4 linked regions of the Macaca fascicularis genome follow. The protein of the gene in region 1 interacts with the protein of each later gene in a pairwise test. Links are inferred from orthologs where the notes say so. Each region holds a gene or a part of one and is shown in the gene's direction. Other genes may lie near its edges.

What was found.
Region 2: the proteins of BMAL2 (region 1) and CLOCK interact in binary tests that used the Homo sapiens proteins (3 or more experiments, as listed by UniProt). The link is inferred for Macaca fascicularis from reciprocal best matches to the Homo sapiens genes BMAL2 and CLOCK.
Region 3: the proteins of BMAL2 (region 1) and NPAS2 interact in binary tests that used the Homo sapiens proteins (3 or more experiments, as listed by UniProt). The link is inferred for Macaca fascicularis from reciprocal best matches to the Homo sapiens genes BMAL2 and NPAS2.
Region 4: the proteins of BMAL2 (region 1) and EPAS1 interact in binary tests that used the Homo sapiens proteins (3 or more experiments, as listed by UniProt). The link is inferred for Macaca fascicularis from reciprocal best matches to the Homo sapiens genes BMAL2 and EPAS1.

Annotation. Positions count from the first base shown.
Region 1 is NC_088385.1:30,147,560-30,151,126, forward strand, and holds part of BMAL2 (basic helix-loop-helix ARNT-like protein 2), read left to right. Parts: intron 1-885; coding exon 886-1,126; intron 1,127-1,613; coding exon 1,614-1,720; intron 1,721-1,880; coding exon 1,881-2,031; intron 2,032-2,981; coding exon 2,982-3,040; intron 3,041-3,567. UniProt on the Homo sapiens protein: Transcriptional activator which forms a core component of the circadian clock.
Region 2 is NC_088379.1:78,433,317-78,436,883, forward strand, and holds part of CLOCK (circadian locomoter output cycles protein kaput), read left to right. Parts: intron 1-1,094; coding exon 1,095-1,208; intron 1,209-1,345; coding exon 1,346-1,464; intron 1,465-3,567. UniProt on the Homo sapiens protein: Transcriptional activator which forms a core component of the circadian clock.
Region 3 is NC_088387.1:5,457,216-5,460,782, forward strand, and holds part of NPAS2 (neuronal PAS domain-containing protein 2), read left to right. Parts: intron 1-1,936; coding exon 1,937-2,078; intron 2,079-2,576; coding exon 2,577-2,686; intron 2,687-3,567. UniProt on the Homo sapiens protein: Transcriptional activator which forms a core component of the circadian clock.
Region 4 is NC_088387.1:75,753,283-75,757,381, reverse strand, and holds the start of EPAS1 (endothelial PAS domain-containing protein 1), read left to right. Parts: upstream 1-1,262; 5' UTR 1,263-1,766; coding exon 1,767-1,792; intron 1,793-4,099.

The DNA of each region.
Region 1 (3,567 bases):
ATTGTAGTGGAAGTTTTACCAAATAGTGCCAATTTAAAACGTTGATTGTTCTAATCTTTTCTAAAGCTTACCATAAAAACAGCTGTTTCAAATAATTTTTTATCAGGCTTTTCCCCTACTTTTTAACCTTTAAATCACTTTTGTGGCATGCCGTAATCTGTATCCTACTCATCGTTTATGCCAGTATTGGATTTATTGTTTGCTTAAACATGATATTTGAGCATATAGATTATTTCCAATTTTTTATTATTTTGGTGGACATGCTTGACAAGCTTCTTCCTATGAGTTAATTGCTTCGGATTTTCCTAAAAAGTGAAATTTGTTTTATTTTTATACTTTTCATTATAAATTTCTCCAAGTGTTCTTTAAAATGTTTCTATAATCTATTATAACGTTATATATCTATTAACCATTATAAGCACTAACATAAGAAATTTAAGAATGCATACATAATGACTTAAATGTCTTTTTAAACTTTCGAATATAAGTTACAATATACCAAAAAACTTAATAAGCTGAAAACAGTATTGCAAGGGGGCATGAGGATTAATTTTTCCAACAGATGTAAATTACTGTAATTTAAAAAATTGACTTGGAAATATATTAAGTCATAGACCTAGTTAATACTAAAATAAAGCAACCTGTTTGCTTTTTCATGTAGTACATACAATTTAGTTCCTGAGGAAAATAACCTATTAATAATAAAGTCATGAAATAATCAAAATTGATGATATCTTTTCAATGGAATACCATTCCCCTTTCATATTTTAGCATATTTAAAGAGCATTTTATAGCACAATTATCACTATTGTAGATGTCAATATAAGAAATTTAATGATTTATTTATAATGATCTAAATGTCCTTTTGAAAAATCTTTGAATTAGAGCATAGAAAATTCTATACTATCCACTGCACTGGTTACTTGAGAAGCTGGCCTCCAAATATTGTTGGAATGGAAGAAGAAAGGAACAGTAAGAAAGACAACAGTAATTTTACCTGCCTTGTGGCCATTGGAAGATTACAGCCATATATTATTCCACAGAACAGTGGAGAGATTCATGTGAAACCGACTGAATTTATAACCCGGTTTGCAATGAATGGAAAATTTGTCTATGTAGATCAAAGGTAAACATTTACATGTTATAATGATTAGAATTCAATAGGATATTTGAAGCTATTAAAGACGTGTCTTAGTAGCACTGCTAGATTTTTTTTTTTTTTTTTTTTTTTTTTTTCTGTTTCAGAACAGAAAGTTTAAATGAAATAAGGATATGGACATGTCAGTAAATTTGTTTAAGCCAACATGTAAACTCGAAAGAATGTCTCTTAGCCAGTGGTGCAGAAACTGGACATGGTCTGTGCCCACGATTTTACTGGCAAAAGCTAGTAAGAGCACAGCCTGGATTGGGTGGAGGCCTCATGCCTGGGTGTCTGTTCTGTGTTGCGGCTCTAGTCTGGCTCTAGGGCAGCCAACAGGAGCCCAGTGATGTGCATGGTCACTCATCCCCTACCCTGTGCACTTCTTTACTATCCTGACCATATGTGGGCCTACAGTCTTCTGGGAGGGAGTACACTCACCACTTCTGAAGTTTATTTTCAATTTTAAAACCAGGGCAACAGCAATTTTAGGATATCTGCCTCAGGAACTTTTGGGAACTTCTTGTTATGAATATTTTCATCAAGATGACCATAGTAATTTGACTGACAAGCACAAAGCAGGTAGGTATGCATTGAGCAGAAGACATTTTGGGGAATTCAAGATGACAGCTTTAACTCTTAACTTCCCATTCCTGTGAAATTTGAAATTTGAATTATTCCTCACAACGTTGATTTTTATAGTGGTAGACTGTTATGCTGATAATTATCTTTTCTCATTAAGTTCTACAGAGTAAGGAGAAAATACTTACAGATTCCTACAAATTCAGAGCAAAAGATGGCTCTTTCGTAACTTTAAAAAGCCAATGGTTTAGTTTCACAAATCCTTGGACGAAAGAACTGGAATATATTGTATCTGTCAACACTTTAGTTTTGTAAGTAAATTTTTATGTTAAGACCTTTATATTGATTTCAAATGAGTCTCTTTGCTTTTTTCCTTTCATCTTGCTAAATCATTAAAACCATATGATCCTCTGGCCTTTTATTATAACTTGAGATTTATCTTTTGAGTAAGTCATTTACTGTTCAGTGACATTAGTTCTCAGAATTAAGCTAAAAGTTTTCATTTTTGTAATATATTCCTTCTTACTTGATATAATAAGTGAGGGTAAAGGCATTTATTCAACCATTTTCTTCCTACCTTCCATGGCCATTCAGTAAACAATGCAGACATGGATTTCAACTGTGCATTATTGTAAGAAATTGTTTTGTCCTCCCTGTCATTTTTATGTGCACATCTTGTAAGCCTGGGGTGCCACCATGTCTGTGTAGGCATGCCCAGCATGGGGGAGAACAGAAATCCAGCCCAGGTGTTGCTTTAGCAGGCCCTGGTCTGTCGCTGTGTCAGCCTGAAGGAAGAGCCAAGTTCTCCCGATTTTATAGTAGACTAGGATGGCCCCATTCTAAGTCTTACTTTATTTCTGTAAGTTTCTCTTTGAAATTGCTGTAAGGTTTCCTTGAACCAGTTGTTTCCTTATCTACAATACCGAGTGAAAAATAATTTTTTTAAAAGTTTAATACCTCCAGTATTTTCCTGTCATCCATCCCAGTAATCTTTGCCTACTTATTATTAGTACATGAACTAAGAGTTTGTTATTGCGAGAACACGTACTTTATAGGGGAATGGGGCATTTGGCAAATGCCATGATACTTAGCACTAATGTCTTAATAGACCTTGATTTCTGGTGGTGATACTAACAATATGTGTAAATAAAACATAAATGGGCCACAAATTGACAAATTAAATATATAGAGCTTGGTGTAGTTGCTATAACAGTTTCCTTCACCTCAGAAAACAAATCATCTATGGTGTTTTTAATTCTAGGGGACATAGTGAGCCTGGAGAAGCATCATTTTTTCCTTGTAGCTCTCAATCATCAGAAGGTAAGCTTAGTTTCAGATGATGGAAGACTTATTACTAAGACGTATTATTAAGACTATTATTGTCTTTTTCTGGCCTGGAGAGGGGAAAATTTGAAGGTGAAATTAAAAGGAGTTCTACAGGTTAGGTTATAGGAATCCCAACTTTGGTTTAGAAGAGACTAAGTTCAATGAGAAACAGATATCCCATTTAAACCCCCAAAGGTATCACCATATCCCCCTCAAAATTTCCACAGTGCTTTGCTCACATTTCTGTTATAATCTTGCATTGTACTGCAGTTAGTTGTTCATTCTACTTGCTTTCCAGTATACTGAGTTCTTTAAGAGCAGGAATGATGTTTTATCCATTATTCAGCCCTAACAGCTAATGTCGTTCCTTGTCAATTGGACAAATTAATGAAAAGTATTAGGGGGAGTTTTTGCTTATCTGTGTTAGTTTTTCACCACAGGAATATATTAATGTATTACTTGTAAAAATAAAAATCTTAGGTAACGTTGAAGTAGTATTGCTGTGGAAGTTAAAGTGGGAA
Region 2 (3,567 bases), on another chromosome or scaffold:
ATTATAGGAAACTTTGTCTCACATAAAATGCTAGAGTTGGAGAGAGAGATTTAGGATCAGAAGAACCTTTGTGAAAGCCCCTAGTGTGAAAATGGATTAGCAGAAGATGTAGGAGTAGTCAGTAAGGTAGGAAGGTAAGTTTATGCTGTAGGAATGACAAAGCATGACTTTAAAGAAATGGAAATGAAAAACCATTGAAGTTAACAATACACATGTTAGTAATCTTGAGAAGAGTAATTGCTGTAGAGGTGTAAGGATGAAAGCCACAGTGTGTGAAGTTATGGGAAATGAATATATGGAAGATGGAGCCCATAATGAAAAGGAAGGAGATCGATAATACCAAAATAATTAGCAAAACTCCTTTGAGATGGAAGACTGAGCAAATTTAAAAGTAGATAGTAAGGATCCTTGACCAGGTGCAGTGGCTCTCGCCTATAATCCCACCACTTTGGGAGGTTGAGGCAGGAGGATTGCTTGAGCCCAGAAGCTTGCAACCAGCCTGGGCAACATAGTGAGACCCACAAAAAATTAAAAATTAGCCAGGTATGGTGGCTCACATCTGTAGTCTTGGCTACTTGGGAGGCTGAGGAAGGGGGCTCACTAGAGCCCAAGAGTTCAATGCTGCATGAGCTGTGATCATGCCACTGCACTCCAACCTGGGTGACAAAGCAAGATGCTGTCTCAAAAAAAAGAAAGTAAGGACCCAAAGGTGTAGATGCTCAAGGAATAAGGAACAGTGATGTGGCCCGGGTTGTAGAGAAAATAGGAAAGACTATAAATAGTAGAGATGGAAGGATTAGCTTTAGAACATGAAGCAAAACTTTCCTTTGAAAGTAAGTAAAGAAGGAAAAGGATGAATAGGTAAAAATAGGAAAACATTAAGTTGTTTGCACCAGAAAATCTGTTTTCCCTGTTAAAGACAAAGTGAGGTCCTGTCCTGAAGTTACTCTGCTTTTATGAACTAAATGTCATTGACGACTTCTGTTGGGGAAAATAATGGTTGTAAACTTACACAACTTTTATGATCTTATTTTATGTGGTATATCATTGTTTTATATCACAAATATGTGATTTTTAAAATCTCTTTATTTCAGCAAAAAATCAGTTAGAATTCTGTTGTCATATGCTCCGAGGAACAATAGACCCAAAGGAGCCATCTACCTATGAATATGTAAAGTTTATAGGAAATTTCAAATCTTTAAACAGTGGTGAGTTAAAATGCTTCTCTCACAATGTGTTTCAACTTGTTATTTTTCTATGCTCTTAAAGACATAGATGTTTGAATATCAGTAACAACTAGGTTTTGCTTGCATAACTCACAATACCTTTTTCCCTATTGTTTTAGTATCCTCTTCAGCACACAATGGTTTTGAAGGAACTATACAACGCACACATAGGCCGTCTTATGAAGATAGAGTTTGTTTTGTAGCTACTGTCAGGTTAGCTACACCTCAGTTCATCAAGGTATGTTTCTAATTTTATTTCCCTAAGGGGATTGCAGTTCATATGCTGAGAACTGCCTGAAACTTTCTGCAGACATTGAGGTGGAATGGCTTTGAGTCATTAAATATGCATGATAATACTTTTGAAATGACAAGTTATCAAGACACTCATTAAACTGTAGAACTAATTTTTTAGTATATATCCTTTGCAGTTAACCAGTGATTATTATATATCAGTATGCCCCACTTTTGTGGAAGATTTTAGGATCCTTTTGTGTATGGTTCATTATTAAAAGGGAAAGTCCAAAAATCTAGGTTTTTGGAATCTTTATTTTTAGAAGGTCACTTTTAAATTTTTATTTGGAATGTACAAGTGACTCTTTACTACATATAACTTACCTTTTCAAATGTAAAATTAAGTATTTTGTTTTTATTTCCTGGGCCCCACAAACAGATGATTAGTAGGGAAGTGGAAAAGTGAAATAGTTCAACCACTAGAAACTGACTGGAAAGAGGCAGCCAGGCTAAGATTTAAAATTTAGGCGGGGCCAGGCGAGGCAACTCATGCCTGTAATCCCAGCACTTTGGGAGGGCAAGGTGAGAGGATTGCCTGAGCCCAGTAGTTTGAGACCAGCCTGGGCAACATGACAAGACCCCATCTCTACAAAAAATACAAAAAATTAGCCAGGCATGGTGTTACACACCTGTGGTCTCAAGTTACTCAGGAGGCTGAGGTGGGAGGATCATTTGAGCCCAGGAGGTTGAGACTTCAGTGAACTGTGTTTGCATTTTATTTTGAGATGAGTCTCACTGTCTCAGATAAATTTGGGGAGACATCTTAGTATAGGACAAAGTACTGAATTTTTAGAAGATCTTAAACCAGTCTTGCTCTGTTTGTTTTAATCTTATGAAATAATAGTTGTTAACGTTTGAGTGCTTACTACATGCTGTATATTTTACATGCATTATCTCATTTAATTCTTATGACAGCCCTATAAGGTAGATGCTATTACGATCCCTCATTTTACATTATAAGGAAACAGAGGCTTAGGGAAGTTAAGTTACTTGCCCAAAGTCTCAGCTATTAGTGATGAAACTGGGACTTGATTCTATTAATTAAGAATTATTTTTTTCTCAAAGCCCAACCTCACAACTATTACAGTGTGCTGCAGGTCATTCAGGGACACAGAGGCAGGATGGAATACATTGTTTAGTATGACTAGAGTCTAGGGTTAGTGTGTGGAGGGGGAAGAGATAGTGGGAGGTAAGGCTACAAAAGTAATCAGAAACCAGAAATAAAATTTATTTCTTGTTTATTTCTCCATGCTGAAGAGAGTTTAGCACAAGGAACCATTAAAAGTTTTTTAGCAGGGAAGTCATATAATATTTGAGTATTAGTAAGGTAATTGTAGCCCTAGAAGAGAAGATGAGTTGAAGGACAGGGAGACTAGTGAACACTGTAGCAAATCAGTGATGGCAGGGGTCTAAACCAATGCACTTAAGATGGATGAGATGGAATTGATTTTTTAAATACTTAGATGAAATGGAAAAGATTTAGTAGTGGCCACTTAGATGGTGAAAGGTAAAAATGAAAGTATGTTTTAACTATCAGATTTCTAGAAACTGGCCACCATACATGTTTAGAATAATATGGAAGATTGTGTGACTGGGTGTGAGCAGTAAAGCAATTAGTTTATTTTAGGACATACTGAATTTGAGATGTGTGAGGACATTCAGATAGTTGGAAATAAGGATCTGTAATTCAGGAGAGAGGTCTGAATTTTGAGTAAGTGTTTATAGGCATGTGTGAATGGAAAATGTGTAGAGTGAGAAGTACCCACCCAAAATCTTGCATCTAAAGGTTATTTATTACCACATTCTTTAGTACCGGAAAAGTAAAATGTATTAACTTGTTTAGAAGGGCCTGCATTTTAGCTTATGCCTAGAATCTCAGCACTTTGGGAGGCTGTGGTAGGCAGGTTGTTTGAGCCCAAGAGTTGAAAACCAGCCTGGACAACATAGTGAGACCCCCATCTCTACAAATAAAAATACAAAAATTAGCCGGGTGTGGTGGTGCATCCCTATTGTCTCAGCTACTTAGGATGCTGAGGCAGGAGAATCACTT
Region 3 (3,567 bases), on another chromosome or scaffold:
AAACACAATCACCGGGCACGGTGGCTCATGCCTGTAATCCCAGCACATTGGGAGGCTGAGGCGGGGAGATCACAAGGTCAGGAGTTCGAGACCAGCCTGACCAACATGGAGAAACCCCGTCTCCACTAAAAATACAAAAATTATCTGGGCATGGTGGTGCGCACCTGTAATCCCAGCTATTCAGGAGGCTGAGGCTGGAGAATCACTTGAACCCAGGAGGCAGAGCTTGCAGTGAGCCAAGACTGTGCCACTGCACTCTAGCCTGGGTAACAGAGTGAGACGCGGTCTCAAAAAAAATAATAATAAAAATACAAACACAGTCTTGGGCACTGGGTTAAGAAATCCCTTTAAAGTAAAAGCTCCCACCAGAGCTCCCAAACTATCTGTGATGTTGAACCAGTTTGGTTTTTATAGCTTTGCTGTCTGTCACTGTCCAGTGCATTTGTAAAATGCAGATTCCTGTGTGTGGATGTGATGTGCAGAGACGTCAAATGGGCATCCAAGTTCCTCCGTGCTTATTCTCACTTCCTGGACCGACTTCTCTGCTGACTAGGAACACGTAATTCACAAAGAGCCGTGGTCCAGGGACCCCGCTCTAAGGAGCCTGGTCAAAGGGAAACTGTAACCAAGCAGCGAGGTCCCCAAATTGCCATTTACCTCAGCACATCCAGCCACATGTGGTATTTCTGTTTTGCACAAAGGCCCGTAGGTCACATGTCAGTCACTTCAGCCCTACTGTAGGCGCACAGCGTCCACCCCCACTGCAGCCGTGACACAAAAGACAAAACAGCCACACAGATGCACGCATGGGATTTCATACCCAAGGCCGTGGGACACAGACCAGCCCGTTGACGTAGCCCAGAGATGCTGGCAGTTTCCATTCTTCTAAGACTGGGTAGGAATGCGGCTCAGGAGGGGAGTCACTGTTTTGTTTTCTTCTTTAGCTTAAAAATTATCCCAACCTTTGTTTTGTTTATTATTATTTTTTTAGACCTTGTCTCACTATGTTGCCCAGGTGCCCAGGCTGGAGTGCAGTGGCATGATCTCAGCTCACTGCAACCTCTGTCTCCAAAGTTCAAGCTGTTCTCCTGCCTCAGCCTCCCAAGTAGCTGGGATTATAGGCGCCTGCTACCACATCCAGCTAATTTTTGTATTTTTAGTAAAGACGGTGTTTCACCATGTTGCCCAGGCTGGTCTCGAACTCCTGACCTCCAATGATCCGCCTGCCTCAGCCTCCCAAAGAGCTGGGATTACAGGCATGAGCCACCGCGCCCAGCCCCAACACATCCCGTTTTCATGTGCCTATAAGAGCTAAGCCACAGAGGATGGAAAAACGGTCCCTCGGAGTCAGACTGTCACAGCTGCTTTCTTGTCACACTGTATTTGAGGCAGAGACGTCCTGAGAGCCAGGGTCAGTCAGGAGCAAGAGGTTGAAAGACAGGAGACCCCTTGCCCTCACTGGTTCTCCACTCCAGGGGACACTGAGGCTGCAGAGAATGAGTAACAGGAGAAAGCGTGGGAAGGACCCAGGAAGGTCCAAAGGCACCTGTCCCACTGGATGAGTTTACAATCCACTGCCAGCAGCAACCTTATTTCTAGAACTCTTTCCCTCTTCTTGGAAAGTCAAGATGCTGGGTGGTGAGGTGACAATGTTGAGGACAAAATTAAATGCAAAGTCAGTTATGAAAACATAAACAATAAAAACCAAAGGCAAGAAAGGGTAATAAACACTGCTTTTCGGCTGCAAGCCTCTCTGGGGCTTTAGGTTACATGTATGTATATACACTACCCAAGCGTCTTTGGAATCGTCCCTAAACAACTATGGTATTTGTCTCAGCAGCTTCTGAGGTTGTCAACATACTTAGAACTAAAGTCACACCCAGTGATTCTTTCCTCTGGATGCTGACATGAGGACTGTTTGATGTGTGTGTTTCAGGACAAGGGCTCAAGCCTGGAACCTCGGCAGCACTTTAACGCACTCGACGTGGGTGCCTCGGGCCTTAATACCAGTCATTCGCCATCAGCGTCCTCAAGAAGTTCCCACAAATCCTCACACACAGCCATGTCAGAACCCACCTGTGAGTGCGAGTCCATGGATGGGGAGTGGGATGGGGGACCCCATCGGACCAGAGGGACAGCCCCACAGAGGGTCCCAGGGCAGTCTGTGCCTCCGACAGAGGTTGCCGTGCAGTTTATACTCCTTTCCTTTCCCAGACTTCCTGCCTTCTGATCACGTCTCCACACTCTGGTATCCATTCAGTGCCAAGCAAAGACCTTGAGTGGGTGGTGCACAGATCTGATCCCTGGGCTGCTTTTAGTAATTCTGGGGAGGCATCTGATCGGGCAGCTCACTGGACCAAGCAGCAGAAATGAAGTTTGGGGAGTGTTTGTGGTTTCTCCCACCTGCTGCCAGGCTGGGCTTCTGTGGTTCACCTCAAACCTGCATGGTGGACTTCCTTTATCAGCGATCCCAACTGAGCTCTTGTGTTAGCACACCACTGTCATGGGTGTCCTCTTCGGATGAGTGCATGCTAAGTACGTCTAAGTTAGGAAAGTCATTCATTGCTTTCTTACAGCCACTCCCACCAAGCTGATGGCAGAGGCCAGCACCCCAGCTTTGCCAAGATCAGCCACCCTGCCCCAAGAGTTACCTGTCCCCGGGCTCAGCCAGGCAGCCACCATGCCGGTAAGTGTGTGACCCCAGACTCCTCCAGGGGAGTATGCTACAGTGTGGTGGGGGCTGCAGAGCCCCAGGCGAGGTGCTGCGTCTCCCCAGAGGATCCTCTTACTTAGGGATTGAGAGTGTAGGGTGGCAGATGGGGGTGGGAAGTTGAGTAATTTAATTGGCAACTAATTTTAAACATTTGCATGACAAAATTAACATGGATGCATATCCATAGAATACAAAATCCAAGTGAATTTTAAGGGTAAAAGGCAAAACTGCAAACCCGGAGTCATACCGTCATACCCCTAGAGCCCCTGAGGCCACACAATTAGGATTCTTCTGTTTCAAATCCCCTCTCATGCTGGTGTAAATGTTTGAGCAGCTCAGTGGCAACAAAAATACCTCTGCACATATCAGGTGGGACCCGACCCCAACGTGTGCCAGATCCTTCCAGAACGTCAGGGGATGCATGGCCCTGAGAAAGTGCACTGGCCATGTGTCAAGTCGCTGGCATGCACCACTCTGGTCATCTATTGCCAGGTAGCAAACTACACCTAACTTAGTGGCCTAAAGCAACCACGTGTATCAAGTTCATGGAGCCTGGGTCAGGAATTCAGAAAGGGCATCATGGGGATGGCACTTCCCTGCTCCTTGGTGTCGGGGGTCTCATGGGCCTAGGCTACAGAACCCTCTCCTCCAGATGGTGTCTGCACATGAATGTCCGGCACCCAGGCTGGGTGGCTGAGAGCTGGGCTCATCCGAGGCCCTCTGTCATCGACTTGCACAGGCCTCTCAAGCCTTAGGCTGCTCCTGGCATGGTGGTGGACTCCGGGTTCCAAGAGGAGACATCTGGAGAGGCAGGCAGGAGCCGTGCAGCCCTCTGTGACCTAGCCATGGAAGTC
Region 4 (4,099 bases), on another chromosome or scaffold:
TGGCAAGAGTTTAAAGGGAGAGATACAGACCAGTTCTCTGGCCCTCGCTTTCCCTTCAAGTTACACCTGTGAAACTCATGGGTCCTTCCACAGGCTTCAAAAACTAAGGGCGTCCCCTGTCCTCTCTCCAGATGTCCCTTCCCCATCGCCAGTAGCGAGTGGGAGACAGCTCAGCGCGGGGGAGGGGAGCACTGGGCCCAGAGATTGAAGGCAGCGTCAAAAGCGCTGCTGGAAAATCCCTGAGCGCTAACCGTTGCCTGCATAAGCCCTTAAATCTACGAATTTCCAACACCTGTAGCCTTTGCGTTCCCCAGGACTTCAATCGACCCTGGCGATAGAGAGGGCAGGCCTGAGATGCAGTGACTTGAGGGCACGTGGCCAACTCTGTCACTCCAAGATCACACTGGGGAACCAGACTGACTTCTCCAATTCTGAACTCGCCCCGGCCCGCGCAGGAGCGGCGGGGTGCCGAGAGCAGGGACAGAAGGTCGGGCGGCTCAAAGGGCCTCCTCTCCCGCATCCCTGTCAAAACCAAATCGCCTGGCACAAGCCCGTAAGCAACCACTGTACTAGGAGAGGGAAGGAAGGGCAGGCGCAGCCTAGATCAATTGATCCCTAGATCAATTTCCTTGCGCTGTTTCTCCCAGACAGTCAATTCAGCTGCGTCCCACCGAAAAGGGCGCATCGCCCACGCCCGAAACGCAGCCGCGAGGGGCCGAGAAATCATCCCCACCTGGCCCGAGGCCCACGTCACGGGGCCAGGGACGCGGGAGCGCAGCAGCGTGGAGGGGCTCCAGGCCGGCCGGGCGCTGCCCGCGGTCCTGCCCTCGTTCCAAGGGCACAGCGCCGGTAGGAGGACAACGACGCTGTGGCGGAACTGCCGCCCCCGGCAGCAATCCTGGAGCCCTGCTCCCGGCCGCCCCTCAGCCCCGTGCAGGCCGCGTCTCCCTGACGCGGAGTCCCACCCCACTACCCGCCGCCCAGACGACCTCATAAACAAGTCCTGGAAGTGCGGAGGCAGGAGGCGGGGCGCAGCGCGGGGGCAGGGGGCGGGCCGGGGTCAGGGCAGAGGCTGCGGCCGCGCCTCCCCATTGGCCAGGACGCAGTGAGCTGCCCGGAGCGCGGCGCGGGCGGGGCCTGCCGGCGCGTGCCCGCCCCCACCCCCGCGCCGGTGCCCGCACCCCGCCCTCCGCGCCCGCCCAGTGCCCGCCCCGAGCCGGCCGACGGAGTTTTTAAAGTGGGCTGGCGGCCGCGGGAGCCTCACACTCGCGAGCGGCCCGCCACACAGCTCCGGCGCCCGCCGCTCTCCCTCCCCAGCGCTACTGAGGCGGCCGTACAATCCTCGGCAGTGTCCTGAGACTGTATGGTCAGCTCAGCCCAGCCTCCGACTCCTTCCGACTCCCAGCATTCGAGCCACTTTTTTTTTTCCTTGAAAACTCAGAAAAGTGACTCTTTTTCCAGGGAAAAAGGAACTTGGGTTCCCTTCTCGCCGTCCTTTTTTCGGGTCTGACAGCCTCCACCCACTCCTTCCCCGACCCCGCCTCCGCTCGCAGGTTCCTCCCCGTCACCTTTCTCCACCCCCACCCCCGCACCTAGCCCGCCGCGCGCCACCTTCCACCTGACTGCGCGGGGCGCTCGGGACCTGCGCGCACCTCGGACCTTCACCACCCGCCCGGGCCGCCGGGAGCGGACGAGGGCCACAGCTCCCCACCCGCCAGGAAGCCCAGGTGCTCGGCGTCTGAACGTCTCAAAGGGCCACAGCGACAATGACAGCTGACAAGGAGAAGAAAAGGTAAGCGGGCGTCCGGGCCGACCAGGGGGCCGGTCAGGGGCCGGTCTGAGGCCAGTGCCGGGCTGCGCTGGGCAGGCGCGACCGAGAGTGTTTGGGAGAAGAGTGCGGAGAGGTGTTTGGAACTCGAGGCTCGGTTTGGAGGGCTGTGAGGGGGAGAGCATGTGCCCGGTTTGGGGGCGCGGAGCAGCAGCTTTGCAGTGGAGACTTCTGTGGCTCGGAGGAGTCGGGGATCCGCGCGCGCAGCGAGGCCAGGAGGCCGAGGGAGATGGCCTGGAGGTCGGAGGTGCTTCCGCGGTGCCTTTGAAAATCTCCCAGCCACCCTGCACCAGATTACCGTGGCCACTGGCGCTTGGAAATGTTTGTGGGTGCATGTCCTCGACTTTCTCTGGTCTCTCATGTTGGGGCAGCATCCACGTCTCTATTTTTCTCTGGATTCCCGGGGTCCTTCCAAATGCGCTCCTACGCCCGCGACGTGGCCCAAATGGGCAAGGGGGGCGGGAGGCGGAGAGCGGCTCAGGGACAGGATCCCACCGAAAAGCCAGGACCCTTCAGAGCGCCCCGCTGCCCGGCTCCACACCCCACTGGAGGTTGGAGAACCCACTTCCCTCGTGCCGCACCTTAACTCTGGGGAGAGTAGGTAGTGAGTGACCTGGATTGCCCTGCGGGGGCAGGTGGTTCGGTGTGTAGGGAGCGGACAGCAACACTGGACGTCCCTGGCAGGTCCGGGTGTCTGTCTCCCAAGAGGACAGGGAAGGGCAGCCACGATCTGCCCGCCTGCTCTCGCGAACCTCTCGGCACTGGGTGAGAGGCAACTCCGGCCAACTCTTGCTGCCCTCTCGCCCTCTCCCGGCCGCTCCCAGTCCAGCCGGGCCTGGCGCTACCCGAGCGAGGGTTCGAGCCCTCTGCGCGGCGGGGCAGAAGCAGGTAGGGCCTCATCTTCTGCATATGTGTGCGGCTCGCCGCCTGTCCCCTTTCTCCTCCTGTCTCCACCCCTGCGGCCCCAGTGGCCTGGAGCTTCCAACCCCGCGCTCGGCCGCGGCTTGGCGAGGCTATGCTGCGGGAAGCTGGAATCCAACGCGCGGCCGGCTGAACCGCCTGAGCCGCAGGAAACCAGCGGCAGGGCGGTAGTGAAGAGGTGCGAGGATGAGGAGGGCCCACCTGCGAAGGAAGGGAGGTGACTGGCCGGGAGGGCTCACTGCCGAGGTTGATTTGCTCTTGTTCCAACTTCCACTACGGGACTGGAGCCAGAAACCTTGTATCCTCCGGTTGAAAGCGGCGGTTCCCACCTCGGGGCACCGATAAGGATTTGATAAACGGGAGCGAATCGCGCCTGTCCTGGCTCGGCGCCCGGGCCCTTCATTGCGGGATCGCTAGGGGAGGGGACTGGGTCCTGCTCCCCTTTCCTGGCCGCAGTTCCCCCTTTCGCGTCACCGTCGCGCCCTCACACCCAAGACAAGTGAGGGAGCCTTGAGACTGCAGCCGGCACATCCCCAGGGCCCTCGGAGCCGTCCTGGGGTTCCGTGTCTTTTGAAGGCAGCAGAACAAGGAAAAGACTCTAAGATTCCAGTGCGTTTTGTGAAAACCAGTTATAATGCTAATAATGACTGAACCATCGAAAAGCAAAATTATAGACAGCTCCTCTGCAGGCGCTCTCGGGTCCGGAGCCGGCGAGGGAACTTGTGTATTTTACAACTGCGAAGCCTATCGGGAATGTGCCAATCGCCAAGGTGGGGCCTGATAGTAATCTTGACAAATGTGTGAAGTGTCAGCTCCTCCTGCGCGCCTTAGCGCCGGGTTTTGTGCAGTTTTGTACCGTATATACCGAGAAACTTGGGAGCAGGGGAAAAATGATTTCGACACACCTGGCTACAGTACCTGCTTCGTTAGCGGGCTGTTGGAGAGAGAGAAGGAGCAGGAATGGGAGCGGGAAGAACGTTGACTCCCAATTATTGGCGAGGGCGGCCGCTTTAAGAACCACTGTCGGGACTGCCTGCGAAACGCCTTGGAAGCCGCTGTGTGAGCTGCGGCTCCGGGCTGGTGGCCACGCCAGGGTGTCCGCCCTCTTCGACCTGCCTGGATTTTTGTGCTGCAGAATGGCAGGGCAAACAGCGTGTCCTTCACCATCTAGAGCCCCTTAAGGGGCTGTCCAATTCCTGTTGGACTAACCATTTTGAGACTCATTTACTTTTCGTGCCTGGGTCTGTTTGCTGGCTACAGCTTCTTTAGCGACTAAGATGTAATTAAAATATATGAACCAATGCATTGAAAGTTGGTGTTGTTATGTAAGTGGGTGCTGTAGCTTTCCTG